Linked DNA regions of Saccharomyces cerevisiae S288C. The gene in region 3 interacts genetically with the main gene of each other region. Each region holds a gene or a part of one and is shown on either strand. Other genes may lie near its edges. The genes, in order: DSF2, PHO5, DCV1 and ALK2.

Region 1 (5,646 bases), on a different chromosome or scaffold from region 3:
GTCAACACTTTATACACTGTGTCTGAAGCTTTGGAAACTGGTATGGTTTCATGTAATACAGGTGTTTTTTCGGATTGTTCTATACCATTTGGTGGTGTTAAAGAGTCAGGATTTGGAAGAGAAGGTTCGCTATATGGTATTGAAGATTACACTGTTTTGAAGACCATCACAATTGGGAATTTGCCAAACAGCATTTAAAGCAATAGTAATCGTGGACGATACTTAGAATTGAATATGATTCTTTGTAATGATTGTATATATCTATTGCATGTATAAATACTCTACTCCTCGTATATAGAAAGTTAAGTAAATTTTTTGAAAGAAAAGAGTTCATATATTTACGGAGTTTTGAAGTTTTTCACAAGCGGAATAAGTGATACCATTCATAAAATATCATATCTATCTATCTATCTATTTTTGTGAGATATATGGTACGAAAATAAATGCCTTTCCTTTTAAGCCTTTCTGTAAGCTTTTATGTATACAACGTTTCTTTATCTTTATTTCGGACCTTGTTTCATGTACTTTTCCTTATAAATCCAATCTGAACCTAATAGATTTGCACCTTTTTTATCGGCTATCCTAAACCATGCAGCAGCTCTGGCGAGATCCCTTTTCTTTACGTTTGAAGTTTTGGACCAAATTGTCCCGCTTAAGCACATTGAGTCTACATGGCCTAATAGAGCAGCTTTTTCCAAAAATTTCAAACCTTTTCGCTCGTCGGGATGATCCATCCCAAGACCCTTTAAATATGCCATACCACATTCGTACAAGGCAGGTGCTGTTGGTTCAGGCGCTATATCAGGGATATCGTCCATTGAAGCAAAATTTAACGGATTTATATCTAAATCAAGAACCTCAGCAGCAAAGGATTTGATATCAGTGGCAGCCATTAAATATCCTAATGATAATTTCAAGTTCTTGTCCACTCCGCAGCCATGTCGCAGGGCTAGTCCATATAACAGAAACGCAGTTTTGTTTCCGCACGCGCAGGCTTTTTTCAGTCGTTGTGCAGATTCTTCAAGTTTGCCTTGATGACGCATAGTAATTGCCTGTCCGATGTGTGAAGATTCATCATTATCATAAGGTTCTGGGTGAAATTTAAGCTTCCCGCACTTGCTTGTTGCGTTCGATCCTTCTTTTTTATGACTGAAGGAATCCATGCATTGCGTCGAATTATTGGGCAACATACCATCTAAAGAAAGTGTTCTTCTTCTAACTTTCGGGTGGTAGGGCTTATTTGATTGTTCTGTTAGTGCACTTAGTTCACCTATTTTTGAATCTTTTTCCGTTGTATGGAAATCCGAGAAAGTTCTCAAATGAGTCCTATTTGGACGTGCTTTACTGTTCTTTTTTTTATCCGTGGATGACTGAGGTGTTGATGCTGTTTTAAAATGGAAAACTGGGTTTGGAGGAAAAATATACCTAGCTAAATGTGGACTGGAATTATTAATGGTACTTGAAGTAGATGGAAGTTGAATATTCTCCCCAGAGAAGTCCAATGAATTGGTGGCAGACCGGATAGGGCTTGATCCTTCAGACTCAAGGTCTTTCTTATTTTTTGCTCTTGTCCTAGGAGATTTAAAAAGTTTTTTTAGCGAATTTAGTGACGTTTTTTTTTTATGAGCTTTATATGGTGGCGTTGGAGGTAATGAAATATCATTTGTCATGGTATTTGTTTTCGTTATCGTCGAGGTAGAGGAATTAGACCGTTTAGGAGATGGTTTGATGGGTGTTGTATCACTCTTAGTTAACTTGAGTTTGGAGAATGAGGATGATTCACTTTCAAAAGAAGACTGAGTTTTCGGCTTTGATAGTTGTCCAACTTCAGAAAAGGAGGTGTTGGTGCTTGTTGAACTTCCGTTCCGATAAAGACAATTACTCTTTTGCGTGGTTGTGAACTCATTGGGGCAACTCTGCTTCTCGGATATTCTGTCAGTTTTTGTAGATGTATTAATATTATTACTAGTAGTTCTGTTATTCTTACTATTAGCATTATTGTCAACGCTAGTATTATTGTCTGATATCAGCGTAGGATAAAGATGGTGCAGTCTAGTATTTTCAATCCTATATTTCTCGAAGTTGAAAGGATTAGGGCTATTTGTGCTTCTATTGCCATTTTCAAGGTTTGGGTACTTATAATCTTTCTCATTTCTATTCATTTGGGGTTTCATGCCACTAAAAGTCTCAGAGTCATAATCTTCTTCGACGATATAAGAGTATCTCGACTTCACGGGCAAATGCCTTTCCACTTTACCGGAAGAGTATTTGCCTCTCAAAGTGGAATCCTTTTCTTTTAAATTGTCTATGATAAGAGAACGATCTCTAGCTTGTATATATGTTGGAGAGGGATTAGTTCTATACCTTAATGAAGGGAATTCCGACGCAGGCATACATAATGTTGGACCACTTGTTTGTGACAGTTGCGAATTTCTCGACGCGTTTTCTTCTTCTAATAAAGCTTCTTGCAGAATCAGTTCATCTTCCAAGCTGAGGTCTAATTTGTCAAGAAGTCTTTCCGTGGTTTGAATAGATTCGAATGAAATGCTACTTTTATTTGAATGAGCATAGCTAAATTGTGAATCCATTGATGACTCGAAGCTATTATTGGGTGGTGGGCTTTGTGAAACCTCTGAAGAGTTAGCTTTTCTTTCTTGATCGTCGCTTCCTATTCGATCAGCCCAAGAAGTGTTTTTTAAATTTTGATTCATTACTTTTCGTGTGACGTAAAAGTCCGTTTGTTTTTCTAGATTTTCTGTTTTTTCTCGAGGCTCCTACAAGTTCCACCTATATTTAGCATTGAGGAACAGAATGTGCTATCGCAAAGAGCAATGGCAACAGAAAAAAAGAGTTGCTAAAGAAGAACTATTTTTGAATGTCCGTGGTAATACAATGGAAGACTACTAGAACACGATGGCAGATAAGGTGATTTGATAATCAAATTCAACGACGGTTGCACCGTTGTTCTTTCTGCCGCTCTTCGTCCGGAGCCTTCTGTGATAATTGTTTTAACGCGCAGAAACACACGCAGGCTGCGTAAAGGAATGGTGGGGCTCGAAGAAGTGACAGTGGGTGTCCACGGAATGTTCTGAGCGCAGGGATCCGGTGTTGCCATCGCACACGATATGAGACGCGTTCATTTTTTCCAGCAGTCACCTAAAAGTTCAAGAAACGCTATGTTGTAATGCAGCTGTATTGTACACTGGCTGGTATTGCCGTTCTGATCTATGACTTACTTGTTAGAGGTAATAGCTGTCTTAGATCGGCTTGCTTCTTCTGACTTCCTTCTTTTTTTTTTTTTTTTCGAAGTGAGGCATGCTGCAGTTTTGTGCAGCTTCTCTTGCATCACTTCCTGTATTATTTACGTTGTTTACATTATCAGGTATTTTGTATTATTTTTTGCGCAACAGCAAGCAAACGCAATAGCGATAAATGCCATAATATAATCAAAATTTAGCAAGGATACATAGCAGCAAACCCGAACCTTTAGGCCTCTCATAGATGAAGAAAATTTGTACAATTCTTTTGGTTCTTTGGCTCTTCAAATATGAATTTATTAAGAGGAAATCCTGAAGCATCAGAACATCGCAAACTTTTTATTCGCAAGAGGATTTATCCTCTGATTAGTTATATATGAATATGTGTTCCTTCTGCATGATTTTGATATCAATAGTATGCATTTTTTTTCGATTCGTCGTAGAAACATAGCTACTCTCATGACCAAATGACTCTTTTTGGCTTTGACAGTGGAACAGCCAAGTTTTTATGTAGAAATATATTATCTGTTAACTGGAAATGATGTCTTAGGCCCATAAAATGTGCTAGAACGTATGGCTAATCCTTTTGCTCTGTATTCAATTGAGTATTTTGCTTAATTTCTATTTGATAATTGAACTTCTTACGTGTATAAATGGTTGCATATTTCTTTAGTAAGTACTATTTTCAAATATGAGTGAAGGATATTGTGGCTCAAGTAATTCCTCTTTCTTTTTTCATCCGTATGGTAAGCAAAGGGTCACAAAGTAACCGATAGTGTGTAGACCTTAGATCTTCCTTCAAAGATTTCAAGTCTGCGATAAATAAACATGAGAATACTTGCAACAACAACTTTTATAAACAATGAAGTTCATTATGAACAGTATTTATTTCACTGCTAAACTTTACGTAAACTTATGTGGAACATCTTTGTCGACAGATGGACGATAAGTAAAATTGTGTTATTATAATTCAAATTTTCATGGTAAGAACATCGGCTTTCTACTCCTCTGTGTACGAAGATCTTGTACGTAATGATGGCCCATACTTATAAAGTATAAACGGGATAATAGCTAGACCTAAAGTTAGGAACCCCACTAAGGACGAACCCCATGCCACAGGATAGTTCTTAGTAGCTAAATTGTCATACATTGCTCTACCAAACAACGGAAAAGCACAGGCAAACGAAGCCCGACAAAAACCATTGCCTGCAAAAACGGATGCAACATACTTTGGGTAGCATGTAGCCAAATATGCAAAAGTTGCTTGGAAAATGTTAAAGACAGCTAAAACAAAAAAAACTTCCGAGATAACTGGCAAAATCCAATGCACTCGAGCAGTCCAACCAAATAAGAACAAAGACAGAGGCAGGCACCAGCAGACACACATTGCCACGATTAAAAAAGCTTCCGGGGTGAATGTGCCGTTTCTAAAACGTGGTACAATAATCCTCATGTTTAAAATACCGAATAAGCCATAAGCAAGTACGCACCCTACGCAAAACCCCATATAGGCCAAGCCAACTTCAACTAAGCTGAAGTGGTATATACCTACAAATACAATAGGGAATGCTTCAAAGAATAAGTAGAAACAACCATAAGCAACAGCGATATAGAGATCAAAAGCCAAAATTGCAGGCTCTTTGATAATCATTTTGAGAGGCCTATACAAAGTATTGATCAAAAAAGTTCTTGCATCAACTTCTCTATCGAGTTTATCCTGTTCAGTATAGTACCTGTCATCACCAGTTTCTTTTCTCAATTTCAAAGCACGGCGGTACAAAATATTATGGTGTTGTGTTTCAGGGAAGAAAAATGCCAACAAGATAAAAGTGGCAGCACTTAACCACATTAATAACCAAAATATGAATCGCCAATTTTTAGCATCGACCATAGCAGCGCCTAGTAAGGGAGCCAAGACTGGCGCAGCAACAGCACCGGCTGACCACATACCTAAAACGAGAGGAACCATTTCTGGTGAAATGATATCAGCCACTGTACCGCCACCAGTGGCCAACGATGGGCTGCACAGTATGCCACTGATGAAACGCATGACGATTAAACCGCCGATGTTATGCACAGTAGCACAACCAACTTGAAAGATCATGAAAAAAAATAAAGTCACCATGTACAGATTTAGACGGCCATAGCGTGCAGTTTCTGATAGCGGTGAAAAAATGATGGGACCTAGACCATAACCAAGAACATATAAAGAAAGATTTAATGTTGCCACTACATGACCAACGTGGAACTCTTCTTGAATATATTCCTGGCCAGGTGTGTAAATGGAGGATCCCATGTACGTGACGCAAGTAAGTAACATTATTTGGAATACTACCAATGATTTTTTCAGTAGGGGCCAGTTTTGTGGGTTCTCAGGATCACTGGGGCC
Region 2 (4,658 bases), on a different chromosome or scaffold from region 3:
CACAAGAGAACCCTGGGCCGGTGGAACAGGTTTCAATTGGAACGACAGCATCGTTAATGACGTATCTGACGTAGGTGTCGTTAGAACATTGGAATTTTTCGGTGTAGACACGAGCACCTTGAGGAACGTACCAGGACTTATGGAAGGTGTTGCCCATGAATGGAACGTATTCGGCAGTTAAGTTGTTTTTGTCGTCAATTATACCAGCGGTGGTCAAATAGTTTAGGATATCGGTATCGTGGGTAAAACTCAACCAGACTTTTAAGTCTTGAGTTTCACTTTGCTTTAACAACTTCAAAGTAGCGTTAAACAAGTTGGCACCGACGGATCTGATCATATCATAACCTGGTCCATCCTGGTAAAACGATACCAGGTCCTGGCCGTATGAGTAACGTACCAATTCATCTTCGGTGAAGATATCACAAACATCACTGTAGCCTCTAGCGTTCAATTCGTATGCACACCATGCAAACAAAGTGTTGGCGTCCTTTGAGGTCAAATTCAAACCCTTGTTTTCTTTGTTTAATCTCTTGGCAATGTCATCCAAGTATGTGGTATCGTATTTGTCCAAAATGTCATCGTTAGCATCTTCATCCCATCCTGGGCACGCATTACCAGCACTCAAAGTGTTTGCGCCGGCGGACATGGCTTCACTGACAGTCTGCAAGGAGATGTTGAATTGGTCACCTAAACCATCAATGAAATATTGAGCAGTGTCATGAACCCTTTCAGAACTAGCGGCGAAAATTGGGAAACTGGTTTGATTTTCGAACATGTAGCCATATTGCGCTAAAAACTCACGAGCATGTCTCTTAGCATCCATCTCACCAGTGTATGGATTCAAAACATTGTCTGAGTTGGCAAAAGTGGTTTCCATTTCCAAATCATCGTCATCACGGATGAAAAACTCGTAATCATCGTTCAAGAATGACAATGAGCCGTTGAATTGACGTGTGTAATTGCTCAACTTATACCATGTTTTCATGATGGTAGCACCTTTACTGTAAGTTGGGTATCTTTCACCATGTCTGGCAAGCATTTGCAATTGTTTCATTTCACAACCTTCAGGCAAGTCACGAGAAATACCATAGTCGCCAGGGAAAGAGAAGTATGGCCCGGCACCACCCAGGAATGGGAATATGTCTTCCTGAGTGCCAATTTTGGCAACATCGGCTAACTCTCCGAGGGGAATTGTACCTGCATTAACTAAAGCAGCGGCTAGAACCGAATAAACAACAGACTTAAACATAGGTAATTTGGAATGGCCCTTTCTTTACTGTAGTATTTTTTTTATGATAATCAAGGCATAATTGACTTCCATCCAGCAAATTTAAGCACTTATATATGTTGCATAGGACTACTCAAAGCTGTTTACTATTTCCCAAACTGGTATTATTTAGTAAATTTCTTTTGAATTTTTTTTTTTTCACTCTTCCTTTTTTTCATTTTTGCGATGCCAGTTCTTTGAGTTTCCCTTATACGGCATATGCACTTAAGGTTTGATTTTGCTAATTAAAGGCGTGCCTAAGCGGCGACTAATACTGTAATATAATATGGGTTCCTGACTGACTACAGGGATTGAAACATCCATTTACCTGTTTCGGATATCTCTGCAGATTTTAATCTTTCGGCAAAATTTAGATAAAAAATTTGGGTATTCGTATTTAGTTTCCAATATTATTTAGTTATACAAAACTATTGTCTCAATAGACTGGCGTTGTAATGAGTAGTGTTCCAGTCCCAGTAGAAGGTCAATTCAGTAGAGTTACTGACGCTGCTGACGTTACAGACCTTTAGGAAGTCAGTACCGGCTACTCTCTTTTCAGCATAGTCGTAGAAGTCATTGATTTCACAAGAGAACCCTGGACCAGTGGAACAGGTTTCAATTGGAACAACAGCATCGTTAATGACGTATCTGACGTAGGTGTCGTTAGAACATTGGAATTTTTCGGTGTAGACACGAGCACCTTGAGGAACGTACCAGGATCTGTGGAAAGTGTTGCCCATGAATGGAACGTATTCGGCAGTTAAGTTGTTTTTGTCGTCAATTATACCAGCGGTGGTCAAAAAGTTTAGGATATCGGTATCGTGGGTAAAACTCAACCAAACCTTTTGGTCTTGAATCTCACTTTGCTTTAATAATTTGACTGAGGCATTGAACAAGTTGGAACCGACAGACTTGATAATGTCGTAACCTGGACCCTCATGGTAATAAGTGTGCAAGTCTTGGTAGTAGGAGTAATGGACTAATTCATCCTTGGTGAAAATATCACAGACATCACTGTAACCTTTAGCGTTCACTTCAAATGCACACCACGAGAATAAAGTACTAGCGTCAGTTGAGGTCAAGTTCAAACCCTTGTTTTCCTTGTTCAATCTCTTGGCAATGTCATCCAAGTAGGTTGTGTCGTATTCATTTACAATGTCATCATTGGCATCGTAGTCCCAAGCAGGACATGAGTTACAAGCACTCAAAGTGTTGGCACCAGCGGATTCAGCTTCACTGACAGTCTGCAAGGTGATGTTGAATTGGTCACCTAAACCATCAATGAAATATTGAGCAGTGTCATGACATCTCTTAGAATTAGAGGTAAAAACGGCGAAACTGGTTTGGTTTTCGACCATGTAACCGTATTGAGCCAAGAAGTCACGAGCATGTCTCTTGGCGTTCATTTCACCAGTGTATGGGTTCAAAACATCGTCCGAGTTGGCAAAAGTGGTTTCCATTTCCAAATCATCGTCATCACGGATGAAAAACTCGTAATCATCGTTCAAGAATGACAATGAGCCGTTGAATTGACGAGTGTAATTGCTCAACTTATACCATGTACTCTTGATAGTCTTAGCCAGACTGACAGTAGGGTATCTTTCACCATGTCTACCAACCATTTGCAGTTGCTTCATTTCACAACCTTCAGGCAAATCACGAGAAATACCATAGTCGCCAGGGAAAGAGTAGTATGGTCCGGCACCACCCAAAAATGGGAAGATATCTTTTTGGGTACCAATCTTGTCGACATCGGCTAGTTTGCCTAAGGGAATGGTACCTGCATTGGCCAAAGAAGCGGCTAAAATTGAATAAACAACAGATTTAAACATTGGTAATCTCGAATTTGCTTGCTCTATTTGTTGTTGTTCTTATTCTCATGAGAGATGAAGCCATACTAACCTCGACTTAGCAAAACATCAGCGCTTATATACGTTTCATTTCGACAATTCAAAGATGTTTACCCTTATCCCAAATGGGTATATGCCTTGCCAAGTAAGGTGACCAATTTGATAATTTGGCATGTGCGATCTCTTCGAAAACAGGGACCAGAATCATAAATTTAGTCTGTGCTAGTCCCACGTGTGAGTGCCAAGGTTGTATCGATTCATTTAGAGATTGCCTATTCAATTAACTCTTTTAATCACTTTTACTTTTTTTGGCATTGTGCAGTTGCGTTCTATGCGAAAACGTGCTAATTTAATATATATTTCTTTGTGCAGACAAAGAAAAAGCGCTATGAACCTTTTACCTTCGTTTGAAGTTTATAGACGACGTCCGCTTACATGAGAAAACATTAAAGCAGCGCACATAAGATGACTTCCAAATACGTTGACATATTTGCGCATTCTTGTTGAATACAACTTTCGGATCCTTGTAATGCCGGTCTCCGGCGTCCTGTAAAGAGAGCGTGCGACACGCCGCTATTAGCGTGGGGACTGACATCAGGTCAACATTATTATTGTAGCGAGCTACTTTCGGTCAGTAAATAGAACATATGTAGAGATACAAGCGATTATTAGAAGGAGCGGACCTACAACAAAGTTGGGTCACGTTTCTCGCAATTATTACTTGGATGCCCTCCTAGCTAATGCCAATGTGCAGTAGTAACTTATCAGTCCGATGTGTAAAAAATAGAACTAATTTTTTGCGAAAAGATGGACAAAAACCATCTCTGGTCAATTTTCTCACTAAAGAGGGACGGAGTCTCTTGTTTTCTTCTATTAGTGCACAGGGAATGTTTTGATTTTCCCTTTTTTTTTCTTTCGCTTCTTCAACAGTGGTAAAAATAAAAATTATTGGCGATGGGATAACCAAGGAACATTGTATTTAGCAATTGAAAATTACGGTAAAGGCAGCCGCTCTGACTTGATCTCTGACATTAAAAATTCGGAAACAATAAATATTTCTTTTAAGATGCGGGTTTTAATAACTAACGATGATGGTCCCTTAAGTGATCAGTTTTCACCATACATTAGACCTTTTATTCAGCACATTAAAAGAAATTATCCTGAATGGAAAATCACGGTTTGTGTACCTCATGTCCAGAAATCATGGGTGGGTAAGGCTCATCTTGCTGGTAAAAATTTGACAGCTCAATTCATATATTCTAAAGTTGACGCTGAAGACAATACTTTTTGGGGCCCATTTATCCAGCCACAAATTAGGTCAGAAAACTCTAAATTACCTTATGTTCTCAATGCTGAAATTCCGAAAGATACAATTGAGTGGATATTAATCGATGGAACTCCAGCATCGTGCGCAAACATCGGGCTGCACCTATTGTCTAATGAACCGTTTGATCTAGTACTGTCGGGTCCAAATGTTGGTAGAAATACATCTGCTGCTTATATTACCTCTTCTGGTACCGTAGGAGGCGCAATGGAATCTG
Region 3 (3,926 bases):
TTTCTTAGGAGGAGCAGGTCTCTTCCTCTTGGGTTTATTCGCCCTTTCCTTTAACTCTTCCTCGTATTCATCATAAATGCTCGTTCTTGGCTTAGGAACACGTCTTGATCTCCTTAAATTATCAGAAGATTGTGAAACACTAACACTTTGATCGGTTTGTAAGGGCATAGCCATTGATACGCGATCATGATCATGGTCAGCAAGCTGTGCGGAAGAGCTGCCCTGGGCTTCTTGCTGCAAATTCTGGATAGAATTGGATGGAGAATCCATAAACAATAGGGGATTGCAAACTTTGCTTGAAGTACTTGGTAAGTGATAGTTTTGTTGGCCGAAACCAATGTGGAAGATATCACCATCTTAAGAAATTAAGTCCATTCATTAGTATAAACTCACGTAATTTCAATGAATTTGTTAAAGTTTCAGCAAATCGTGAAGCACGATATTTCACTTTTATGATCCGAGAGGGAATATTACTAGTACTTCCACGCATAAGGAAAGTCAATGTTAACAAATACCGCCATACCGCCATACCTGTCCTCTGTAGTCACTGCTAATGTTAATGTAAATAAATTACATCTAAAAGTTGTTTTCTCTTCAGTAATTTTAGAAACCGTTAAGAGGAAAAATGGGCACTTCCTTTCTTTGTTTCAGAAATTAAGCTCAAAAAGATGGGCTCGATAAAAGTAGCATACTATTTACTCTATCTTATTTTTATTTTCTATATACTAGTCTATCAGACTCAGACGTCAACGATGTGGAATACGGATGGAATCATTAAATAGTAGCAAGAAGTACTTTATTCTTATTTTTCAAATTGCGGCGCGCCAACAAAACGCGTACAAAAAAAGCAGATTGGATAGTACTTTATTCTTGTTATTTTGTCATTGGAAAGTATAAGCTGGTTGTGGATTACTCTTCACACGATGTGCCTGTTTTTTGTAGGCGGGCTTGTACTTTCTGGGGAGCATGCTGTGTATGTTGTAGGTCTGTGGCAATGTTTGTCGGGAGTGTTCGCTGTTACCATGAGTTGTCTGTGAGTAGTAGCGATTGTAATTGTGGTTGTATCCTACTGGTCTTCTTCGGGAATACCAAGGAATGAAAGAGTTATGAGGAACCTCACTTTGATCCTGGTAATTATTTGGTTGTTGTAGTTGATATTGGCGGGGCTCTGTGAGACAATGATTTTTTTTTGAATATATTTTAAAGCAATCGGCTGATTGGGTAGCCTCAACGCCAAATAACCAAGGAGGGTCGTAGTTATCTTGTGAATGGCTTGAGATTCCCTCATAATATAAAATATTTGCCTTTTTTTTTTCAGTAGGCATTTCCACATTTTCTTGCTTTGCAGGTAAGTCGGTTATATTGATTTCATCCAAAGATAAGGATTTTTGATTTTCAACATGCCTTCTAGAAAATATTTGTTTACCATTCAACTTTGGAGCGAAGAAACTCACCAAACCTGCTTGCTTCAATGGAGATTTGATTTCAGGCGGTGGTTCATCTTGATTTGTTACCGCCAGTTTATCTTGATTGGGATCTAAGGTCCTTGGTAGATCATTAAAAAGACTTGTGATGTCATACACAGATTGGTCTGTGCCCTTAGTTGTTTGTGGATAATTTTCGCCAAGGGAACTTGATGTTTGACTCGTTCCATATAGTTTGAGAATACTGTCTACGTTCTCTATACTAGCTTCTTTAGCTATGTTTTCTGTCTGACTGCGCAGACGTATCAAACCTAAAACTGAGAAAATGCACGCCAATAACGAGCAGAGGGAACAGGGAACAGTTAGCCAGCCACACCAAGTCGTATAAGGATGAAATTGTAACAGGATCACGGTGCATGCAAAGTAACAGGATCACGGTGCATGCAAAAATAGTTGATAAAAGTGTCAATATGTGTAATATAGCGTTGGAAGTAATAAGTGAGACATTAGTTCCTCCAGTCTGAAAAAGAAAAATAATAACCAAGGGAAGTGCAAAAGAAATGAAAGTCAAACATGTAGCAACCGGTATCGAAATCAAAAGTCCTCCTATTGTATGTCTTGCCTTAGGACTCAGCCACCAACGTTCAAGAGAAGGGCCAGGTAATATTTCTTTCGAGGTGTTATATATTAAACGTACTCGAGAGCAGGAAAAAGAATTCAAAGTTTTACAGTAACCAAAGGTACCATATGAAACTCCAGCAGCTTGAGCCAGCCCCCAGTTTCTAATTATTGGTGAAGTTAAACAACATATCATAAAGCCAGAAAAAGAGATTAATTGTAGGAAAGAGGAAAACAATAAAATCAATTTATAATTTAGCATCAATTATTGAATATGGTACCAAAAAAAAAAAATTAGCAAAAAAAGGCAATTTTCTCACCTTCTTGTAATTATTACGCGTAAGGACAGATCATAAAAGTGTATTTCATCCTCAATCATCAATTAAATAATTTATTTATTAACATTCATATATATTTATATTTTCGTTTGCAATTTCGCAATTTTAATATGTCACAAAAAAAGCGCCCACAGAATTATCAAGAAGACCAACCAAATCAATAATAAAATTCGGCAAATAACATTATTAGATTTTTCATGAGATTTAAGAAATACTTGTTCTGTTGTTTAACTGATGGTTTATTACTTATATTTAAATATTGAAAGCTGCAAGATTTAAAAAAATATCTCCCGGGGGCGAGTCGAACGCCCGATCTCAAGATTTCGTAGTGGTAAATTACAGTCTTGCGCCTTAAACCAACTTGGCTACCGAGAGTCGTTTTTGTTGTAAAAAACTACGAATATTCGTGGTATGTCGCATATATATATATTTCTTCTTCCAATGAGACGCAGAGGAAAAAACAAGTGAGGAGGAACATTTCAAAGAGATTGCTAATCAAAAAAAAATTCAAGAACAAAAACAAGGTGGTATATCGACTAATACAGAGTCAATCATGGGTTCAAACACTTCCAAAGTGGGTGCTGGTGCAGAAAAACAACAAGTCTATACTCCGCTAACACAGATCGATTTTTCACAGTCTTTGGTTTCTCAATTGGATTCATCGAAGGAATCAGACTATGTCACCAAGCAAAATGCAGAAAAGTTCATTGAGAAGAAGGTTTCACAAAGGCTATCTAACCTAGAAGTTGAAACGTTAAAGAAGTTTGAAGATACTTTGAACAATTCACTATTATCAGACGACGACAAGGATGCCGTTGATGGAATATCATCAAGTTCATTGAATAATCAAATCGAGTCGTTGAACAAGAAACTAACATTATTTGATCAATTAGAGTTACAAAAGTTGGAGAAATATGGGGGTGCCAAAGGTAAATCTGATAAAAAAACCGACAACGGCAGCATTTCTATAAAGGCAAAATTGACTGAGTGTCTTTTGGCCAATAAGGGCAAGCCATTGAATTGTTACGAAGAGATGGAAGAATTCAAGAAGCTCGTTATGGGTTGAATAAGAAAAAGTATACATAAACTCGACCAAAAAGAATTCGCCATTTCATGTATATAAAATGCATTTTTATCGATTGGCGGATGAACGTAAAAGGGAGAGAAATATTTTTATGTGTATGTAAAAAAATGTATATGTATATTCCGAAAAAACTATTAATTTTGAAAAAATGAAAAATGGACTTACAGACCAAATCCTTTATACATTAAGATCAGTGCACTATCACTTTCGCCCCCACCGGCTAAAGATTCAATTTTTTCCTTTTCAACAACGCTAACTTTATCATCATTAAATTTGTACCATTTATTTTCGTCCAGTTCGTCCCTTATGAAAGCTTGATAGTGTCCAGACTCAGAATTGGCACCTTGATGTGTAATGACACCGATCAAGTTATAAACACAAGATGGGTTTTCACCTTTTTCCAAGTTTGGAGGAAAATGTTTCTTATACTCTTCGAGCCATTGATCTTTTTCACTTTCGTTA
Region 4 (4,062 bases), on a different chromosome or scaffold from region 3:
TCTTGGAGGAAAAAAATGGATTAGCAAGTAAAATCGCACAGGCCGTCTTAAACAAGAGAATTGGTGAAAATACTGCCAGGGAAGAGGAAGAGGAAGAAGAAGAGGAAGAAGAAGAAGAGGAAGAAGAAGAAGAAGGGAAAGAAGGAGATGCGTAGATGCCATTTACTGACGGTGAAGATACTAGAAACTAAATCTTTCGCCGTTCTATTTATGTAATAAACCCATTATTGCTCATTGGGAGTTGTAAATATTAATGCTCAATGTTTATGTATATCCCTCGCACAGGGGCTTTTTATTTCTTGAGGGGGGGACTAATTGTATAATTGTATGTTTTATAAAAAAGTATATTGCTCTTTTACGACTTTTGGTCTGGTCCCCTATGCTACTAATAACATTTTATTCTCTTCAAACTTCAACGTTCAACCTGCTTTGCCGAGACGGCGATTAGTATCCTACCCAACTGAACCTTTTCTTTTTGTTTCGCTTTTTGTTATACAATGCAATTTCGTCTCGCTGTAGTCTTTGGGTATGTCCTGTCAAATTCGTCACTACATTTTCAAAAGTTGTCTTATCCTTTAGGAGGTCTCGCTGTTGTTTCTTCAATGATCTTGATTTACTAACCAAAAAGTCAATGGATTGACACAATGTATCGTGGTATTGGCGTAAAGATTCTTCATCCATACTAGTAAAATCTGCCATAAGCAATTGCGGTATATGCTGCTCTTGCTCACGCTCCTCTTCCTTTTGAAGAGATTTTAAAGTCATTGGTGGTGTATAGTCAATTTTGAAATTATCCCTCAGGAAGAGACCAGTAGCCGTTTGCTCATTTTTCTCCACTGCATCGCATATCCTTTTGAACAACTCATCATTCAACGGTTCTTCCTCCCTCTTCGTACCAACACCCTCAGAGCCATTATTATCCGATAATCTCAAAATGTGGAGCAAGTTTCTGCGTATATGAGATTTATTCCATATGAATGGCTGTAACACAGGATCTAATTGTACGAGTTGTTCATAAATGACATGGGGTCGTTCATCTTCAATAAGTTTGCTCAGCTTGAAACAGTCATTCTTTATGGTTTCTTCTTCCAGGTCAAATTCTCCCTTTGGTAGTATCTTATTCAAGCAGTTATCTACTACAGATTCGGAAGACGTCGTTAAAGTAGAATTCTGGTTATAGAGGTCATTTTCAACTGAGGCATCTGAAAAATTCCCAAAATCATCACTAGAATCACTTTCTGCATCTAATGCATTTGTGACAGGTTCTATCTGATCTCTATCGCTCATTTGCTTGCTTTGAAAGAGGTGCCTTTTTCTATCTTGCTACACCTTAAATTCTCGTTTGTGATACGCCTAACGTTTTTTTTTTTTTTCAGTTTTGATAGCAATTCGCGAAACTTTTTGTAACATCTTCTCTTCTCGAAAAGCGAAAATAGTAAACAATAACTTAAAGCGTATTGGTATTAATATATTTAGTTGTAGTAAAATCATTTCACCAAACACACATACATGCGCTATTTGTATTGAGAAAATGAATTTTGATGCGGTAGCAGATCAACAGATGACTGACAGAAGGTATTTTGCTCTCGAAGTAGCAGAAAGCGATGATGCCGACAGCTCATTAAATTCTTCATCCATGGGAAGCCCCGCAGTGGATGTAGGAAGAAAAGTTTACAAAATCACTTCGCACAAGGGTTCAGCAGAAGATGAGAGTCAATCCTTTTTTACTTCTTCAGATTCTCCAACATCCAAAACAAGGCCTGTAGGTAAAACCATCGAAAACGATGATTACTATGGTAAAAGATCTTCTACAGGTTCATCGCTCAAACAACTCTTCAATAAAATTAATATTAATGATACCGCTCACTCTTCAAACAAAGAAAATGTATCTCAGTCGGTGCTATCGGAAAACAAGCTGCTCTCTCCATCTAAAAGGTTGTCGAAGCAAGGTCTTACAAAGGTGACTAACTCCAAGTTTCGTACACCCTTGAGACCTATTTCAAACCAATCGACTTTATCAAGGGATGAGCCTGTTAAAGATTTTAGATCACTTAAGTTTCGGAGCGGTAGTGATTTCAAATGCTGGGGTGACGAGAAGACAAGTTCTCATGTTCATTCATCCAGTGTGAACTCAGTTAATTCCTTTACTTCTACCACCTCTTCTTCAAAGTGGAAGTTCTGGAAAAATGATAACCTATTGTCGAGGTCGCTATCTTCCAGATCTGTGAATGACCAAGATCCGAACTTTGTTCAGCCAAAACCAACCAATTCGTTACAAAAGAAGTCTTCAATTTCAAGTTTTCACAATTCTATTTTTGGTGGTGGCAAACACACAGAGAAGAAGAGGAATTCTGGATTTATTATGCCCGATCATCAGAGCACGAAGGAGCTAAACCACAAACATTCATCATCGAACCTTTCCTTTAGAAGTTTGAAGCATAAAACATCACATTCTTCACTAAATAAGCTCAAAGTAAGGCGTAAAGGAAATACACAAGAACTGAATCATCCGATCAAAAAAACTTGCCAAATATCATTGCCTGTTCCAGACCAAGTCTCAAAGGACAAGATTCAACTGAAATTGAAAAATTCAACATCATTGGCATCCTTATCTTCAGAAGTCACTCCCATAAACACTTTGGACTACAATGATTCAATTTTGCAACAAATATTACAACTTTGTGATGTTAAGTATATATTACATGATCTACGTGAAGCTCAGTCATTAGGCTTGTTTACGTTGAATACTAGATCGGTTCAGCTGTCTCATAACTTTTGGCAAACTTATCATAGCGATATGCAAACTTCACTCATTTGCAAGAAAGTATGTCTAGGGGCTCTAAGTGATTTGACTACTTCAAACTTGATATCCTTACATGAATTGAAATCATTACGGTTAATACAAGGAACTAGCGGTGTCGCCAATTTACTGCAAGCTTATGTTGTGCCCTCAAATCAATGTGAAAATGACCAAAACTTGATACTGTACTTATTTTTCAAATACCAGGGAACTCCTCTATCAAGGTGCTCTAACATTGATTACTCTCAAGCATTGTCTATTTTCTGGCAGTGCAGCAGTATTTTATATGTTGCTGAATCCAAATTTCAGCTCGAACACAGGAATCTAACTTTGGACCATATTTTGATAGACTCTAAAGGGAATGTTACTTTAATTGATATGAAGTGCTGTCGTTTCTTGAATATAGACAACAATAAGGCTTCCTATACAAGATTAGACCATCATTATTTCTTCCAAGGCCGGGGGACTCTTCAATTCGAGATATATGAACTGATGAGAAGCATGCTGCCTCAGCCAATATCCTGGGCTACATTTGAACCAAGAACAAACCTATTATGGTTATATCACCTAAGTAGCAGCCTGCTAAAAATGGCCAAAAAAGCCGTAGTCAGCGGCGCTTTGAACCGGGAAGAAAATATCTTAATCGAGTTGACGCACTTACTCGATCCTGCTCGAAAACATTCCAAAACAATTTTCAAAAAGGAACTTGTTATAAGAACTTGCGGTGATTTGTTATCTTTGAAGGGAGAAATAATGCAGTAAAGACATCGTAGTAATAAGGTGCAAGCTTTTGTATCCTTCTTAATGATTTGTAAGCAAAAAAAAATTACGTACATCAATTTGTAATGGAAAGGAAATAAATAGTATAATATGAACACTCTTTCTGAGAACAGTTATCTTTAGCTTGCCCCACAAACTGAAAGCACATTTTTAAAATGTTTTACAGATGAAAATGAACCCTTGTACTGTTATCCTCTGTAAGTCGTTATTTTTCTTTTGCCTTTTTCAGGTTGACTGCTACTGTAATCGTAAGAATATTCAAAATCAATCATCTCGCATCGCAACAAAAATAAAACGAAGTTACTGGTTTAGGTGGCAGAAACATATAATATTGGCGAACATTCATAAAATAATTAAGGCTTACCAACGAAGCATAATAAAATTGCCAGTAACCAAAGGTCTCTGATAACATGAAAGTGGTAAAGTTTCCATGGTTGGCTCACCGTGAAGAATCGCGAAAATATGAAATATACACAGTCGAT

What was found.
Region 1: mutations in DCV1 (region 3) and DSF2 together harm fitness more than expected from each alone (negative genetic interaction), as found in Saccharomyces cerevisiae (2 studies listed by BioGRID).
Region 2: mutations in DCV1 (region 3) and PHO5 together harm fitness more than expected from each alone (negative genetic interaction), as found in Saccharomyces cerevisiae (2 studies listed by BioGRID).
Region 4: mutations in DCV1 (region 3) and ALK2 together harm fitness more than expected from each alone (negative genetic interaction), as found in Saccharomyces cerevisiae (2 studies listed by BioGRID).

Annotation. Positions count from the first base shown.
Region 1 is NC_001134.8:248,306-253,951, forward strand, and holds DSF2 (Dsf2p), read right to left. Parts: upstream 2,712-5,646; coding exon 501-2,711; downstream 1-500. Other genes in the region: UGA2 (succinate-semialdehyde dehydrogenase (NAD(P)(+))), read left to right, coding at 1-198; FLR1 (Flr1p), read right to left, coding at 4,258-5,646.
Region 2 is NC_001134.8:427,853-432,510, forward strand, and holds PHO5 (acid phosphatase PHO5), read right to left. Parts: upstream 3,100-4,658; coding exon 1,696-3,099; downstream 1-1,695. Other genes in the region: acid phosphatase PHO3, read right to left, coding at 1-1,249; PBY1 (putative tubulin tyrosine ligase), read left to right, coding at 4,184-4,658. UniProt on the Saccharomyces cerevisiae protein: Partially mediates extracellular nucleotide derived phosphate hydrolysis along with NPP1 and NPP2.
Region 3 is NC_001138.5:166,266-170,191, reverse strand, and holds DCV1 (Dcv1p), read right to left. Parts: upstream 2,305-3,926; coding exon 1,696-2,304; downstream 1-1,695. Other genes in the region: IOC3 (Ioc3p), read right to left, coding at 1-270; YFR012W-A (uncharacterized protein), read right to left, coding at 882-968; MIC19 (Mic19p), read left to right, coding at 2,934-3,446; ubiquitin-specific protease UBP6, read right to left, coding at 3,626-3,926.
Region 4 is NC_001134.8:205,663-209,724, forward strand, and holds ALK2 (protein kinase ALK2), read left to right. Parts: upstream 1-1,531; coding exon 1,532-3,562; downstream 3,563-4,062. Other genes in the region: bifunctional glycerol-3-phosphate/glycerone-phosphate O-acyltransferase SCT1, read left to right, coding at 1-155; LAA2 (Laa2p), read right to left, coding at 445-1,287; YBL008W-A (uncharacterized protein), read left to right, coding at 3,747-3,986; HIR1 (Hir1p), read left to right, coding at 3,991-4,062. UniProt on the Saccharomyces cerevisiae protein: Serine/threonine haspin-like protein kinase involved in cell cycle regulation.